2 linked regions of the Arabidopsis thaliana genome follow. The protein of the gene in region 1 interacts with the protein of each later gene in a pairwise test. Each region holds a gene or a part of one and is shown in the gene's direction. Other genes may lie near its edges. The genes, in order: LPD1 and LTA2.

What was found.
Region 2: the proteins of LPD1 (region 1) and LTA2 interact in a two-hybrid assay, tested with the Arabidopsis thaliana proteins (2 studies listed by BioGRID, with this or other methods).

The regions. Positions count from the first base shown.
Region 1 is NC_003074.8:5,784,457-5,793,557, reverse strand, and holds LPD1 (lipoamide dehydrogenase 1), read left to right. Parts: upstream 1-3,032; 5' UTR 3,033-3,174; coding exon 3,175-3,498; intron 3,499-3,587; coding exon 3,588-3,734; intron 3,735-3,874; coding exon 3,875-4,009; intron 4,010-4,126; coding exon 4,127-4,232; intron 4,233-4,317; coding exon 4,318-4,442; intron 4,443-4,688; coding exon 4,689-4,814; intron 4,815-4,912; coding exon 4,913-4,993; intron 4,994-5,368; coding exon 5,369-5,431; intron 5,432-5,534; coding exon 5,535-5,609; intron 5,610-5,689; coding exon 5,690-5,768; intron 5,769-5,870; coding exon 5,871-5,971; intron 5,972-6,076; coding exon 6,077-6,190; intron 6,191-6,267; coding exon 6,268-6,381; intron 6,382-6,550; coding exon 6,551-6,622; intron 6,623-6,746; coding exon 6,747-6,773; coding exon of another isoform or gene 6,774-6,797; exon of another isoform or gene 6,798-6,867; coding exon 6,868-7,050; 3' UTR 7,051-7,173; downstream 7,174-9,101. Other genes in the region: AT3G16960 (plant self-incompatibility protein S1 family protein), read left to right, coding at 1,294-1,504, 1,613-1,746; AT3G16940 (calmodulin-binding transcription activator), read right to left, coding at 7,573-7,602, 7,705-7,998, 8,180-9,101.
Region 2 is NC_003074.8:9,456,796-9,464,409, forward strand, and holds LTA2 (2-oxoacid dehydrogenases acyltransferase family protein), read left to right. Parts: upstream 1-3,637; 5' UTR 3,638-3,836; coding exon 3,837-4,739; intron 4,740-4,823; coding exon 4,824-5,015; intron 5,016-5,137; coding exon 5,138-5,225; intron 5,226-5,312; coding exon 5,313-5,383; intron 5,384-5,465; coding exon 5,466-5,549; intron 5,550-5,685; coding exon 5,686-5,790; 3' UTR 5,791-6,218; downstream 6,219-7,614. Other genes in the region: AT3G25840 (Protein kinase superfamily protein), read right to left, coding at 295-651; AT3G25850 (Cysteine/Histidine-rich C1 domain family protein), read right to left, coding at 1,383-2,159; AT3G25855 (Copper transport protein family), read right to left, coding at 2,813-3,054, 3,291-3,375, 3,461-3,472; AT3G25870 (uncharacterized protein), read right to left, coding at 6,870-7,382. UniProt on the Arabidopsis thaliana protein: The pyruvate dehydrogenase complex catalyzes the overall conversion of pyruvate to acetyl-CoA and CO(2).

The DNA.
Region 1 (9,101 bases):
CAAGACCAATTATATAATCGTGATGAGATTTCCTTCAATATATAATTTTTATTGACTATATATAGCTTTATATTTACCAAAATTAATATGTGACTTTAATGGTGAGAAATATATAGCTTTCCTTATATACCTAAGTTATAAATAGATTATTGACTACATATATTACTAGGCCCGCCTATTTAGGCGGGTGTACCCGAAATTTTCAAATACTCGAACGGGTCTAAACTTCAAAACCCGAAAAATTTGAACCCGAACCCGAATAGGTATCCAAACATATCTCAAATATAAGTATATATTAGTTATATTTATACTTATATATAAAAAATATTAGGATTTTTTTGGATATTTTAGTGATTTTTGTGTATTTTTAGATATATTCAAGCAAAACTACTCGTGTTGTTTTGGGAATTTTTGAAATTTTCAAGTAATTTAATAAATTTGCACACAAAATTTCATATTTCAATATATAAATAAACTCGAACCCAAACCCGAACCCAAACCGAACCCGACCCAAAATCTTAAATTACCCGAACGGGTCCTAAACTTCTAAACCCGAAAACCCGAACCCGAAATACCCGACCCGAATACCCAAACGCATAGGGCTAATAATTAATTAAAAAAAACAATCCACAAAAATATTTAGAAACCAAACATTGTTGAAAATATATTTTTTGTATATGCCGTAATCTCGTAAGTTAATTTTACATCATGCAAATTAATATTAAATGAGTTAAAATTAATAAATGAAAATAATTGAAAAGTTAAATCCTATAAGCTAAGCTATTTTTCTCAAAATGTTATATTTTTCACTTATGATTAGATGAGTTAAAGACAAATTTGTTAATTTTCCTTTTGTTGAATAAATGTTAATTGTTTATAAATATATAGACGTATAAATTAGTATATGTAAATTTGTTTACTTTTTAAAATTTTCAATTTTTTTTAGAGAATAAAAAAGTTAAATTTTGAATGACACATGTAAACATCTGATCGTTTGACTTGACATGTGTAACAATTATATGAGTTAGCAACTTTGAAATCCATACTTTATATAATAAGATATAGCTGTCTTTTTACCAAGATGAGATTTCCTTTTATACCTAATTAAGTTTTACTTTGACTCATATTATTCAAAACATATAACCTATGTAACTGAGTCAACAAAACAAAGAAGCTTGTTAGGGAAACATAATCAATAAAGTTTGGTATTATAAATACAATAAAGTACTAAGTGGAAAGAGTCCATATTCAATATACTTTCATATTGCAAGGAAAACAAAAAACAAAAACAACATGGGTGCTCTAGCAGAACTTGTAGCTCTCATTATCGTTATGTGTGCAAGTGTAACAATGTCCCTCGCTCAAAACCCCATGGCTTCACCACCAAGTGTTGAGAACCCAAATACAACAGTGGTGATACATAACGCTCTTTCAGGTTATTGGCCAATGGCATACCATTGTGCATCAAAAGACGTTGATTTTGGACTCCGACGTATGCTAGCTGGTGGATCGTGATCATTTGAATTTACACCCAGTGTTTCTGGAGATACTAAATTCATTTGCACTTTTGCTTGGAGACTAGTGTTTCGTTATTTCCGTATATACATACAAGAAAGAGACCAAGAATCTGCAATGTTTGGATGCAAAAGATGCGAATGGAAGATACGTGAAGAAGGACCTTGCAAACTGAACAAAAAGACTGGAATGTTTGATCTTTGTCCTCCTTGGGATTCTCAAAATATTTGAATTTTTTTTAACATTACTGCTCTGTGTAGCTACCTTTATTTATCTAACAAATAAATTAATAAAATAAAATAAAACATTTGATCTTTAAAATCGATTTTTTGGAGCCTTTTATTCGGTATATACCGAAGTTAATATAGAAAAAATCAAGTTAACACAATTGCATTTTCTTGAAACACAGAGAATTTAAGCATAATGATCATAAACATGTTACCATTTACCAAATGACTTTATCATGCTTCTTTGGCTACTTGAGCAAGAGGATCTACACCATTTTTAGAGCAGAAATACACTCCAAAAAAAAGTAACTCAAGTCTCAAGATGAGTTGCTAGCACCAAAAGATATTGCGCGGCGCTGGCTTCAACAAAATCTGATCTACGTTTCACTAGACCAACAACTAAAATAGGGTGGTCGTCCTCGCTTTTGTGCTCCAGAATTCGTCCATTACTGGTTGGTGAATACAAAGCAAAAAATTACGAAAACGTACTTGAAGTTGTGAACTGTTTTATATAATTTACCTTTCTTCAAAACGCCATAGAAGCATAGAACGATCGTGTAACAACCATGCACGTCAAATCTCAGGGAAAAGTCCATGTAAGATTGTCCCTTCCTTATCATACATACATGTCCTTAACTAAAGAAGGTAATTTCCAATATGCGTCAACCTCGGCCCACGGCTGCACCAGGACAACATGAAAAATAAAATTAAAAACCATTAAGGAAAAAAGCAAGCAATTTGTTTCATGAATATTTATGCATAGATATAATTAATTACCTTGCTTGTTTTTCAGGTGATGGATTATATAAATTACCACGGCTATATTTTGTAAAGTCAAAGAATTCGTTGATTGGACGACGCTGCAGCGAGCCTTCTTGGCAGTAGTGGTTAATGAGTTCCCATGCGAGTTCCACATTCTTCATCGAAATCAACATCTTGCTGGCTACTTTTAATTCACTACTAGAACTGTCGAGCAAGTAATAACATAACCCTAATGAAACAAATTACACGATCTTATGAGCGTGAAGTGGCTACGAGGTATTTCATAAAGCATTTTAATTTTGAAAATCAACTTCACTATCCAAAAAGTTCCTAAAATCTAGAGAAACTAGTTTTTTAAGCGATTTGTTTTTAAGTTTGTTACAAAATCCAAAAATTAATTTAAATATATATTCACAGCCAAAAATGGGCTACGAGGTCTATTGACCCAATGGGCTTTTTAAGACTTAAACCAGGTTAGAAAAAATGAAAGAAAAGTCGTAAATGCCTCGTGTACAAAAAAAAGTGGTTAAACAAAACAAAACAAACAAACAAAGCGGGCTTTGAAAACTCCGCCTCCGTTTGTTGGCTATTTACACTCACTCTGTCTCCGCCGGTAGATTTGTCAGCTGCGTCTTCCTCGTTTTCTCTCTCTCTGTCTGTGTCTCTTAGAATGCAATCAGCTATGGCGCTTTCGTTCTCCCAGACGTCGTTTACAAGACCAAACCACGTGCTCGGATCATCTGGTTCTGTTTTCTCTACGCCCAGAAGTCTCCGGTTCTGCGGACTCCGGCGGGAAGCGTTTGGTTTCTCAACGTCGAATCAGTTGGCTATTCGCAGTAACCGAATCCAATTTCTAAGTAGGAAGTCATTCCAAGTCTCCGCTTCTGCTTCAAGTAATGGTAATGGCGCTCCACCGAAATCTTTCGATTACGATTTGATCATCATCGGAGCTGGAGTTGGTGGCCACGGAGCTGCTTTGCACGCCGTTGAAAAGGTTTGAAGTTTCTTATATAACCTGATTTGATGAAAGTAAAAGATTTGCTCTGCTTATTATGGAAACATTGGTGATTTTGTTTGTGTTAGGGACTTAAAACAGCCATTATTGAAGGAGATGTTGTTGGAGGGACTTGTGTTAACAGAGGATGTGTGCCTTCTAAAGCTCTTCTTGCTGTTAGTGGTCGAATGCGGGAACTTCAGAACGAACATCACATGAAGTCCTTTGGTCTCCAGGTAAATATCAACTCATGTTCTCTGTTTAAAGTTGCAAGCTTTGTCTTTGGTGTGAAATGGTTGTAGAAGATCGAGCTAGTTCAGGAATTACTCATTACCTTTCACTATCTTATGGTTTTTGGTTTTCCTTTGGGAAACAGGTTTCAGCTGCTGGATATGATCGTCAGGGTGTGGCAGATCATGCTAATAATCTGGCTACCAAAATACGAAACAATCTGACCAATTCAATGAAGGCAATTGGTGTTGACATATTGACTGGATTTGGCAGTGTTCTGGTCAGTACTCAGTAGTACGTTCTATTCTTTCACGTTTACTAACTGTAGACAGGAACATGATACAAACTTTTCTTAAACGATGATCCTAACTCATATCAATATTTTGTATTTCTGCAGGGTCCACAAAAGGTTAAATATGGGAAGGACAATATTATTACTGCAAAAGATATAATCATTGCCACTGGATCTGTGCCGTTTGTCCCTAAAGGAATTGAAGTTGATGGTACGTTTCTTGTTTTGGACGTAGAGTTGTTAAGGGAGCATGCAGACTTGATTATTCCTTGAATGTTTACATTTTGGCGCTGCAGGAAAGACTGTGATCACCAGTGACCATGCTTTGAAATTAGAGTCTGTCCCTGAGTGGATTGCAATTGTAGGAAGTGGTTATATTGGTCTTGAGTTCAGTGATGTTTACACAGCTCTTGGAAGTGAGGTAACATGATGTTTCTGTACTAATGATATTACTTTAGTACGACTTTGTGATGTTGTGTCCTTGTACTTGAGATTGTAATAACTGCAATTAGCAATGTTCTCCAATTTTCTAGTTCTTTGTTTGGTCTCTTCCTGTATTGAGCTTGTTTTTGTGTAAATAGTAGAAAATAAGATTTTAAGGTACCAATCTGTTGGTTTTTCGATTTAAATTGTAGTTACTGATCGAAAACGGAAACCTTTTGTGCAGGTAACTTTTATAGAAGCACTGGATCAGCTAATGCCTGGATTTGATCCTGAGATCAGTAAGCTAGCTCAGAGGGTTTTGATAAATCCAAGAAAGATTGACTATCATACTGGAGTCTTTGCAAGCAAAGTGAGCCTGTTATATCATGCATTGCAAATACTGCTTCTCTTTCTCTATACAGTGTGTCCATGTATTCATCTGTTAAACTTAAATCTATTCTTATTCAGATTACTCCGGCAAGGGATGGGAAACCAGTTCTGATTGAGCTTATTGATGCCAAAACCAAGGAACCTAAGGATACTTTGGAGGTAACCAAATGGAATTTAAAAGATAACATGATCTGATGTCTCACAAAGAGAATATTTAACAGTTACTGGGTCCTTAACATGATCTGATGTCTCATGCCTGAATTGGGAAGATTTGTGCCGTTGGTAGTGGGTCCTTAGAAGTCTTGTTTTTCACTTTTTTGCTTTTCGCTGCAGTATTAACCACATTGTTACTCTTCCCACAGAAATGTAAGTATACACATTATGCATAGGTGGATTAGTAAAGCTTCTCATTTTCTGAATTTATTGTGGCCTTTCGTCTCAAGATAGAATATAAATAGTCATGTCTTTTGGTTTCTTTTCATTGTACCATGTGATTTTCTGCGCTGAAAGTGTAATTTTGTTTTCCTTCTCCAGGTAGATGCTGCTCTTATTGCTACTGGGAGAGCTCCATTCACCAATGGACTTGGCTTGGAAAATGTATGAAATGACACTAAATCCCACCTTTTAGTATTGTCATTTTGGTTACCAGAGAATGTTTAGTTGTCAGAAAATTAACCTTGAAGCTGTCATCTCAATGCAGGTCAATGTTGTGACGCAGAGAGGTTTCATACCAGTTGATGAGCGAATGCGTGTGATCGATGGAAAGGGGACTCTGGTCGGTTTTATTTGCATATACATACCTTTTCCTTGTCAGCAATTCTTTCTATATGCTAAATTCATTTCTACTTGTGATAGGTTCCGAACTTGTACTGCATTGGTGATGCCAATGGTAAATTGATGCTTGCACATGCAGCCAGTGCCCAAGGAATTTCTGGTAAATGGCTTATCAGTAGGAGGCTACTAACAATGCAATAATATTTTCCCTTTTTTCTTCTTGAGCCTTGTATTAAACTCTGAGCTCTTACTCTGTGGCTAGTGGTCGAGCAAGTCAGCGGCAGAGATCATGTGCTTAATCATCTTAGCATCCCAGCTGCTTGCTTTACTCATCCTGAAATCAGCATGGTGGGATTAACAGAGGTAGTTTTATATCCTAGTACTTGTGTACAGAAGAGGGTCAAAAAGAAGAATGCTATGAGCAAAATATGCTTACTGTAACTCCTTATGTTTTGACATTATTGCTAGCCTCAAGCAAAAGAAAAAGGCGAGAAGGAAGGATTTAAAGTTAGTGTTGTCAAGACAAGTTTCAAGGCTAACACAAAGGCCCTAGCTGAAAATGAAGGAGAAGGAATAGCTAAGGTGGGAGAAGCAAAAGTTGTTGATTTATTTATGTCTCATGAAAGAACATAGAGATCTCATTGCTTTTCATTATGCAGATGATATACCGACCTGACAATGGTGAAATCTTAGGAGTTCATATATTTGGACTGCATGCAGCTGACCTTATCCATGAAGCTTCTAATGCGATTGCTCTAGGAACGCGTATTCAGGTAGGATTTCATTGATTAGTGATTACTATTGAATCTAGCTCGTAGCCTTTGATATTGATAATATCCTACAGCGAAATCAAGTCATATACATAGTTCCTGCTGAAACTACTAAACGCATTATTTGTATCTGTTTCTTGATCCCCTGCATGTTTTAATGGTATCTCTGCAGGACATAAAATTGGCAGTTCATGCACATCCAACACTCTCTGAGGTCCTCGACGAACTGTTCAAAGCAGCCAAGGTAAAGCAAAACAGTCTCCTCATGCCATTGATCAGAGAGCCCCTTTATTCTTAACTGCAATCAATAGATTTAAGTCCTCTACTAAAAAGCAAAAGAATCTTACACTATAAGTTCAATTTTTCAGGTTGAAAGTCATGCTACGACAAGGACAGTAAGTGAAAAAGTGGTTGTATAATAAGAAACCAAAAACTTATTGGGGTGGGGAGAAACATCTTGAAGAAAGAAAATTTGTGATTGTACTTTAGGGAGATGCAAAGATAAAGCTAAACACGAACCAGGAAGATCGAAAAGGAAGAAGAAGAGGAGGAGATGATGAGAAACAACCTTCCGTAAGTAAAGACTTGAAAGATATATCTACAAGGCCTTCTTCTTTCTTTGAGAATATTTCTGTTGGAGTCTTGTCTCTGCTTTCACTTATATTTGTTTAATTGTTCCATGGTTTCAATTAGTGGAGATTGTGGTTTTGGTTATTGTATGTTTGTTTGATGTGAACGATTTTGGATGATTCTTCTCTTTTTACTAGTAAAATCACTTGTCTGTCCATTATTATCAATCAGATTCAGACGTGAAGTGACAGATGAACCTAGTTTTTTTTTTTGTCAAACAAACAAACAAGATGAACCTAGTTTAATGTACAAATGTTCATAAGATATTTCTCTGGTTACTTGCAATTTTATTCTACAAATATACAAGTCTAGATTACACCAAAGTCACATAGGAACCCAGTTACAGAAATAGACAAATAACTACAATACCTATTTGTTAATTCTGTCTCTCTTTTTCATACAACAGAGATTAGGTCTCGTTATGTATACTTTATTCTAAACCAGTTGCAGAAAGATCGAGAGTAGCCTTTCCCATTCACATAATTTACAGATCAATTACCATCCATGTTTAACAATCAACACCAAACTCTCTTTGACTCACCTCTCCATAGCCATTTTGATGTATCAAATATCTTCCAGGCAACCGTACTCCAACTGTGTCACACCATAACAAGACTCGTTAATTCAAGTATGAACTTATCTCCGGTTAGAGTTTTTTTTTCCAAAACTGAGATTCAAAAATGTCAGATGATTCACCTGAGCTTCTTCATGAGTGAGTTTCATCCTTCTGTAATCCTGTTGAGCCTTCTTAGACCTGAACATGGCTTGTACTCGCACTACAGATCTCTCGAGCCTCTCCTCTGCTTGTCTCTGGCTTGTCTTGTAGAAATCTTCCTGTGCCTCACCAGGAGAATCCTCCTCTGCTGCAACCTGGAGTCCTCTAAACCCTTTTCTCTTTTGTCTCCACCTCAAAACTGCCTTCTCCAATACTCCTACCGACCACAATATCTTCTTGTACTGCCTCCTTGCTTGTAATCCCCTGAAAGCAGCCTGCAAAATAGGAGGAAATACACTCATGTGTTGCAAAATTCAGACAGACGATATGATAAAGGTGTGAACTTTCAGTCTCCTATAGTTTGTGGAATTTAGACAAAAGTGATGATTATGAATAGCCAAGTTCAGAGCAAACTTATAATCTTGGCTGCTGAATCTTGTGTGGTTCACTTCATACCTGGATCCTAATTGCTTGGCGCCGCATGTTCAGATACTCTCTTCGTATTTTCCAAGTTTGGAACCTGCATTGAATCCGGTAAGCGGCTTCTATCTTCCTACGTGTATCATATTTCCGGAACGCATTCTGAATCTTCATCGCCGCGATTATGCTCTTGGCCTCTTCTTCTTTGTTAGCAAACTGAATCACGCTTGACCGTGCTGCCTTTAGCGCTTTTTCCCTAAACGCACCTTGAATCCGAGCCGCTGCTTCTGCAGCTGTTCTGTATGCTGCAAGAGCATCCTTGAGACTCTGCTCATCTTCCGGTAGAGTGCCTTGGTTCAACATCTCTGCCTTGCAAGCCTCCAGATCGCCAGTGATGTTTCCAGCAATTTTCATGTCTCTAAACTGAGCAACCAAACATTTCTCAGCAAGATAAGCAGCTAAACCGTCATATCCGTTTTGCTGTGCCAAATCAGCTGCCATGCATCCACCAAGATTATCCTTCGTCGAGTCTGTCACCAGGTTCGGTCTTGCCCCAGCAGAGAGAAGAGCAGCCACCATTTTCTCCCTTCCGTAGTATGCTGCCCAATGAAGAGCAGTCCACCCTTGTTTATCACGGAAATTCAACGATAAGCCTGACAATGAGAACAGCTGGACTGACCAAGTGTATCCAAGACTGGCACAGAGGTGGATCACGCCGAGGCCTTTAGAATCATAATCCAATGTGTTGCGACCTTCAAGCACTTTCTCCATAAGCCATTCCTTAAGCCTGTTCTTCAGAGAAAGCTCGAAGAGATGATCTTTCGCTTGATCAAACGATACCTTATTCCCCTGGATGGACTTGACTAGATAAGCCCAACTGTTTAAGAGATGATTTGTTTTGCTAGCGAGTTTTTTAGCATCTCGCAGGTTATGAGGTGAGATTTTGCTGGAGAGAACG
Region 2 (7,614 bases), 3.7 Mb from region 1:
AATACATGACACTAAAAACGCAAGAACATACAATTAAAAAAAAGGGAAAAAGAACATCTACATAAAACCAGTTCTTACAAATCAAGCGAAAGCCATCAGTCTCCATTGAACGCCTAGTGCAACACTCAGGTTATCTAAAGAAAACTCTCAAAAGACCAAAGCTTTATCATTAATTCAGGCGTAAATGCTGTTTGTAATATGAAAAAATCAATCAAACCCAAATCCACCCCTCTGATCCCACAATCCAAACAGAATTTAGGAAGAAAAAGACGTATTAGAGGGATTAGAACAGACCAGATTATTATCTTCAAATTTGATTTCGCCTGATTCGCCGTCGGAATCTGCCGTCTTCATCAAAACATCACCAATCCCATCTTCTTCTAAAATCTCTCCTTCCTCCACATCCTCCTCCTCACAGCCGTTACTAACAACAATTGGAGCCGCCGGAGTAACATCCAATATCTCTGTCTCATCGCCGGCGGATGGAATTTCATTTTCGCGCTTCTTATCTCGGTGATGGCGATGCCTGTGGTGATGATGCTTGTGATGACGATGCTTGTGTCGTTTCGATGCTTTTTCAGTGTCATCGGACGACGAAGATGAACGGTGATGCTTGCGGTGGTGAGATTCGATCTGCTTATCGTTCGCCATCAGAGAGTATCGTCGTAATCGAAATTAGGGTTAAGGCTCAAGAAATTTTGGTATAGAATCGCGACCAGAATTGCTTGTAACATCTTTTTAAAGGGATTTTATGTAAATAAGGCAAACGTGGCATATGTGTATTATTTTATTTAAGGCAACAAAATTGAATTAGATCATAGAGGTTGATCATTATTATTTCTTTAACAAATGATTAAAACATTTTTACATATATAGATAAAAAAGGTTTTGTGAAATTGGTATAAAAAACAATTTTGAGATATGACTCCATATTACTAGTGTTAAATTTGATATGCCATATTTTAAAATTTAAATCTTGAAACTCCTACATAGAAAATCAGGAAGAAATATATATTTTTGGTATGGTAGAAATCAGGAAGACATTTATATACAATTTTTTCAATAAATTAATTTTCTTTTGTAATTGTAATAATTTATTTCAAAATCTTTTAAAAATGAGTTTGGCCCCTTTAATCATGTGTTAGGCTAATGTGGTCATGTTCCATTAACTCTAGAATTACTAATGACGAGTCATAGACAAAATTTTAGACTTCAGGGTTCTTCGTTTGGTCAAGAGTCAAACATTATGTATACAAAAAGAATGGATCATTGTTGGACACAATCGTTGCACCACATTGTCAGTTTGTCACTAACAGAATCCGCATCAAGCTTTAAAATGAATTTCTCATAACATACACGCCAATATTTATTTTTCATTAGTTTTATGGTTCTTCGATTTCTTCTTCAGAACTATCATCTTCAATTTCCTTTTCGGAATCATCTTCGAGTTCATCTTCAAGCTCTTCTTTGGGTTCAGCTTCGAATTCTTTTCCATCCCACACGTCATCTTTCATCGCACATTTTAAATGAAATGCAAGACTAGGACAACGCAAGCATGTAAAAGCTCCATGGGAGCAACTAATCTTTTGTCGGCAGATTCCACATTTCCAATCTCCGAGACCAAGATGAAAAATGCGAGAAATGCGATGATCATGGCAGTTGATGCTTATAACTCGTGGTAGATATATACAATCCTTGTGGAACATCAAATTACATTCAAGACATACATAAGGATTACGCTTACCTTCTACGCTACATGCATTACAAGTAAATGTGACCACTCTCGGCAAAAGAGTAAGCATATGCATATGGTTTTTTGGGTGATAAATACTTGATGGTGGTGGATCTTTAAGACATTTGAGATCCATGTTGATGTTGCATATCAAACAATGAAAAAAATCATCAAGAAGATAATCTCTACAAAAATGACAATGGTCACCTGCATAGCCCAATGCCTCGAGTGTGTAGATTTTGAGAGAATGTTTGCATGGAGATGGATGCAGAAGTGAGCGCTTGATGCATTCCTTATGCCCCCAAAAATAGCACTTATCGCAGAAATAGCCAAAACCACCTTTCTTTTTGCACAAAATGCAAGAAAATCTGTCCAATTTCTCATATGCTAAAGGATGATCGTGAAAAGGAAACTTCTTTTCGGTCATGGTGAGTGTGTGGGGATTGGGTGAATCTAGAAAGCATAAATTTCAATCAAAAAAAGAAAAGAAAAGAAAGAAGAAAGCTTCACTTGAATATTTCTCTTGTAAGGCCTCTTCATTAGTGATCCTCATTGTCATTGATAGTCGTAGGCATTTTTGTTGTTCACTTGTGTTGTTGAAGTCTTCCCCTCCATTTAAAAATATGAGTAAAATTGGGCTGTTATTTTAGTTGTGGTAACCAACTCACATTTAGAATTTCAGAAAGCTAAGATTTCAATAATGATGTGTATTGTAAAAGGTTTATATACTCGGCTCTCCCAAATGTTCTAAACAATAGTTTGGGTTTCGTTTTTCCCAATTACCAAACAAAATTTTAGATATATGTCCATTTCGGAACGAGACCTTGTCTTTACCGTATTCGTCTCGGGTTTCTAGTCCCATATCCGCTCGTATAATTAATTGTTTTGAGACAATGTAATGCATTGAATATATATCAACTTTTATATATACTAGGTGATCATCCGCACTGCGCTACAGAGTTTTCTATATATTTGTACATACAAACAAACGTGTTGGTCATTATATGCCATTGTTTCTTCTAATAGTTCTCACAAATGTTTAGGCATTGGAGGATAGAAGAACAAACGAATTAGAGATATCTAACACAACAATGGTGTGGTCATCTGATCAGGTTGATTAGAATATTCATGTGGCTGTTCATACGGTAGCTCGTGCTCGCTTCCTTCTTCTCCTCCATGGCCATTGGTGAGATCTTCAACTTCGAGAATCTCAACCCTCCGTTTCATCTTCCTTTGCAGTTTTAATGCAACATCGGATGGTCGAAACCGTCCGCAAAGGATTACTTGACGTTCCTTTTTGTTGATCATGTGTGTATCAACTTCTTCATAAAAAAGTATCCAAAACATGTGTTAGTATTGAATTTTCTATAAATCCACCACGACTAAACCTACATAAAATGGTGCATATAGTAACATCGATAAAATTTAACGATGTCTTTCTAAAATTTTCAGATTTTCCACTCAAAAAATCCTCCTTGAACTTTAAATCTTATTTTCATAACATCCTTCTTTGCTCATTTCATCCACATATTATTTTATATAACCAATATAAACCAACCTTTCATATTGATGATAATCCTCCTAGCTTTTCTACAACAAGCATTGCAATCCAAGTTAATCCTCATCACAACACAACATTGCTTCTGCATTTCACCACCCCAAAAAAAAAAAAAATTATCACAAATCCAAGAAAATTATTGTTCAAACAAATAAAAGAAAACACAAAACCTTTTCCGACATGAGACGAAAGAGCAATATTGTATGATATGTTTTTGGTTAAGAAAACAAAAGTATACTTATAAATTAAGATTTTGGAATCTGATTCTCTAACTTAGGTAGAGCAGAGAAGATATATAAGAAAACTGGTTTTGTTATGTTACCTAATATCCATTGAGAAGCATCTAAATTTTCTTTGTTTCTAGATGGTTTAACCTAAACCGAAGTTTCAGATAAATTAATCCGGTTTAATTATATATCCGGTTATTAAACTGGTAACTGATACAAATGTAGGCGAAGACGCTCAACGAACTTCAACCTCGTCTTCTCCGTCCACTTCACTCTCTCTAAACTCTCTCTCAGATCTCTCTCTCTCTGTGATTCAACAATGGCGGTTTCTTCTTCTTCGTTTCTATCGACAGCTTCACTAACCAATTCCAAATCCAACATTTCATTCGCTTCCTCAGTATCCCCATCCCTCCGCAGCGTCGTTTTCCGCTCCACGACTCCGGCGACTTCTCACCGTCGTTCAATGACGGTCCGATCTAAGATTCGTGAAATTTTCATGCCGGCGTTATCATCAACCATGACGGAAGGCAAAATCGTGTCATGGATCAAAACAGAAGGCGAGAAACTCGCCAAGGGAGAGAGTGTTGTGGTTGTTGAATCTGATAAAGCCGATATGGATGTAGAAACGTTTTACGATGGTTATCTTGCTGCGATTGTCGTCGGAGAAGGTGAAACAGCTCCGGTTGGTGCTGCGATTGGATTGTTAGCTGAGACTGAAGCTGAGATCGAAGAAGCTAAGAGTAAAGCCGCTTCGAAATCTTCTTCTTCTGTGGCTGAGGCTGTCGTTCCATCTCCTCCTCCGGTTACTTCTTCTCCTGCTCCGGCGATTGCTCAACCGGCTCCGGTGACGGCAGTATCAGATGGTCCGAGGAAGACTGTTGCGACGCCGTATGCTAAGAAGCTTGCTAAACAACACAAGGTTGATATTGAATCCGTTGCTGGAACTGGACCATTCGGTAGGATTACGGCTTCTGATGTGGAGACGGCGGCTGGAATTGCTCCGTCCAAATCCTCCATCGCACCACCGCCTCCTCCTCCACCTCCGGTGACGGCTAAAGCAACCACCACTAATTTGCCTCCTCTGTTACCTGATTCAAGCATTGTTCCTTTCACAGCAATGCAATCTGCAGTATCTAAGAACATGATTGAGAGTCTCTCTGTTCCTACATTCCGTGTTGGTTATCCTGTGAACACTGACGCTCTTGATGCACTTTACGAGAAGGTGAAATTGAATTGAATGAAACAGATGAAGCTGATGTTGTATTGAATGATGAAGCTGATGTTAAATCACTGCTTTTGTTTACAGGTGAAGCCAAAGGGTGTAACAATGACAGCTTTATTAGCTAAAGCTGCAGGGATGGCCTTGGCTCAGCATCCTGTGGTGAACGCTAGCTGCAAAGACGGGAAGAGTTTTAGTTACAATAGTAGCATTAACATTGCAGTGGCGGTTGCTATCAATGGTGGCCTGATTACGCCTGTTCTACAAGATGCAGATAAGGTAAGCATAAGCAATAAAGTTGTAGAAAATAGCTAGCGTGTGAGTGAATTAACACACACACTTGGTATTATTAGGCTGGTTTCTTTAACTGAATGTGTGAGTCGTGTTGGTTGTTTTGATAGTTGGATTTGTACTTGTTATCTCAAAAATGGAAAGAGCTGGTGGGGAAAGCTAGAAGCAAGCAACTTCAACCCCATGAATACAACTCTGGTACTATTCTTAACGAATTGTTTAGATGACAAACATGTGAAGTGTGTTTAAGGATTTTGATTTAAGGGATATATCTATGGAATGCAGGAACTTTTACTTTATCGAATCTCGGTATGTTTGGAGTGGATAGATTTGACGCTATTCTTCCGCCAGGACAGGTATATGAAAGAAACTTTCATTGCCTCTTCTATGAATAGTGATTACAAGGAATTTACTTAATTGTTATACTCAAATCTCTAGGGTGCTATTATGGCTGTTGGAGCGTCAAAGCCAACTGTAGTTGCTGATAAGGATGGATTCTTCAGTGTAAAAAACACAATGCTGGTAAGTTTTATTTTGACTTAATAAACTTCCTGATGGGTTTGGTGAATCACTTCGACTTAGAAAGTTTAAAATACGATTAGCTATAGCTTTTGGCTATGCTAACAGTAACATTGTCGCTTTGTTGTTATGTTGGCAGGTGAATGTGACTGCAGATCATCGCATTGTGTATGGAGCTGACTTGGCTGCTTTTCTCCAAACCTTTGCAAAGATCATTGAGAATCCAGATAGTTTGACCTTATAAGACGCCAAGCGAAGACGAGAAGTCAAAAACAGTTTCCAAAATTCCTGAGCCAAATTTTTCCCAAGTAAATTTTTTAATCTTCATTGTTCTTGGTCTTGCTCTACTTCTTTTGCATCTTTTTCTTCACTTGTGTTGTATCTGTATTTTTGTTTTCAAGAATCATCATTTTGGGTTTTAAACAAATAATTTCCTATCCAGAATCAGCCCACCGGCCTTAAGAAAAGAGAGTTACTAGACACGGCCTATTATCTGAGGGCATATCTGTTGTGTCTGTATTTTTTTTGGGCACGGCCTTAAAGATTGTGCCCAAGCCAAGCAATCTATTGCTTAGATCTCAATTTACTTAGTAGAACGAACATTATTTGGATTTGAAAATTAGACATATATCAATTAGGGCTGAAATCCAACATACCACAAGCCCAATTCTTGTAAAGAACTAAAGAAGGACTAATCAGAGATTGAATTACCATTGTTGTTTCAAAACTCAACTTGTTTGGGTGAATATCCCTTTTTCATTTCGTGTTTTAAATTTTTACTAACCATTTTATTATTTATTTTGTTGTATACAATATGATTTAAATCATGTTTAAATTTTTTTTTTTTAACATCAATCATGTTTAAATTTATTGTATTTTTGGAAAGGAATAAGTTAGCAAAAACTTTTAGTAAATATATATATATGGATTGCAATGGTGGAAGTCTAGAACCTTTTTGTAATCAACAATAATTTCAGATTCTGATATGAAAATCTTTTTAATAATTCTGATCTCTGGAATACCGAATACATCCATGATCATATAAGATTGTAACATTAACACAAAAGCTAACGAAATGATAAAGGCGATTAAAGATTAACAGTTCCTGAAGAGAAAAAAGTTCTTACAAACTAATCTAAACCACTTACTCCTACTAAAAACATTTTGATTTTTCTAATCCTAATAACTTAACAAAATATATAGATCCTAATACCTATTATCCAATAATAGAGGGAAAAAAAAGAAAAAAGAAAAAGCGAGGCAAAACGCTTAACAAAACGTCACCGTTCGTAGCCCGCTTTTTTAAAAAGGTCCGGTATGTTGTTACTCCGCCGGTAAAAACTCCGGCCGCCATGAAAACAAATCGCCGGAATCTAAACACCCATCGAAATATTCGAAAAGCCCATCATCACCAAGATCGCAAGGTCCGAACTCCGTAACATGATCCTCAAACCCACATAACTCTCCAACCTCTGATGAATCCGACGAGGCTCGTACCAATTCCGTCACCGTTTCCTCACACGACGGAGGAAGAAGCGTTTGCGGTGGCGTAAGCGGCGGTGGCAAACCCAGCTCGTCATCAGAAGCTTCGAAAAGGTATCCAAGATCCGGCTGAGTTTCACCGGAGCTTAGCGCCGCCGTCGTTGTCGATAACTCATTCTCGAAACTCTTCATCACCGAGTCAAGATCTTGACTCACTGGGTCAAGCCCCGAGTCATCGAACAAATCATCTCTTAACCGCTTCACGTCCGGCGAGTCGAGGTCTAACCCGTCTCTGACTCGTTTATTCCCGACAGAGTCAGTCCGAGTTAGCCTCTCCTCCAATAAATCCTCCATAGCTGAACCGGTGGTACGGGTTATCGCTTTGGTTAAGATGGTACGGTTTTAATGAGTGGCAATACTGTAATTAAGCGTGAGATATGGGTACAGAATCGGAAGAAGGGGAAACACGAGATTTTATAGTGGAGAGAAGATATAAAGAGAAGCAGATATAAAAGTCGGTAACGAAAGAGAAAGCGAGTGATTTCAGACGCAGACTTTGGCGCGTGTATAACGAATAGTTTGGGCA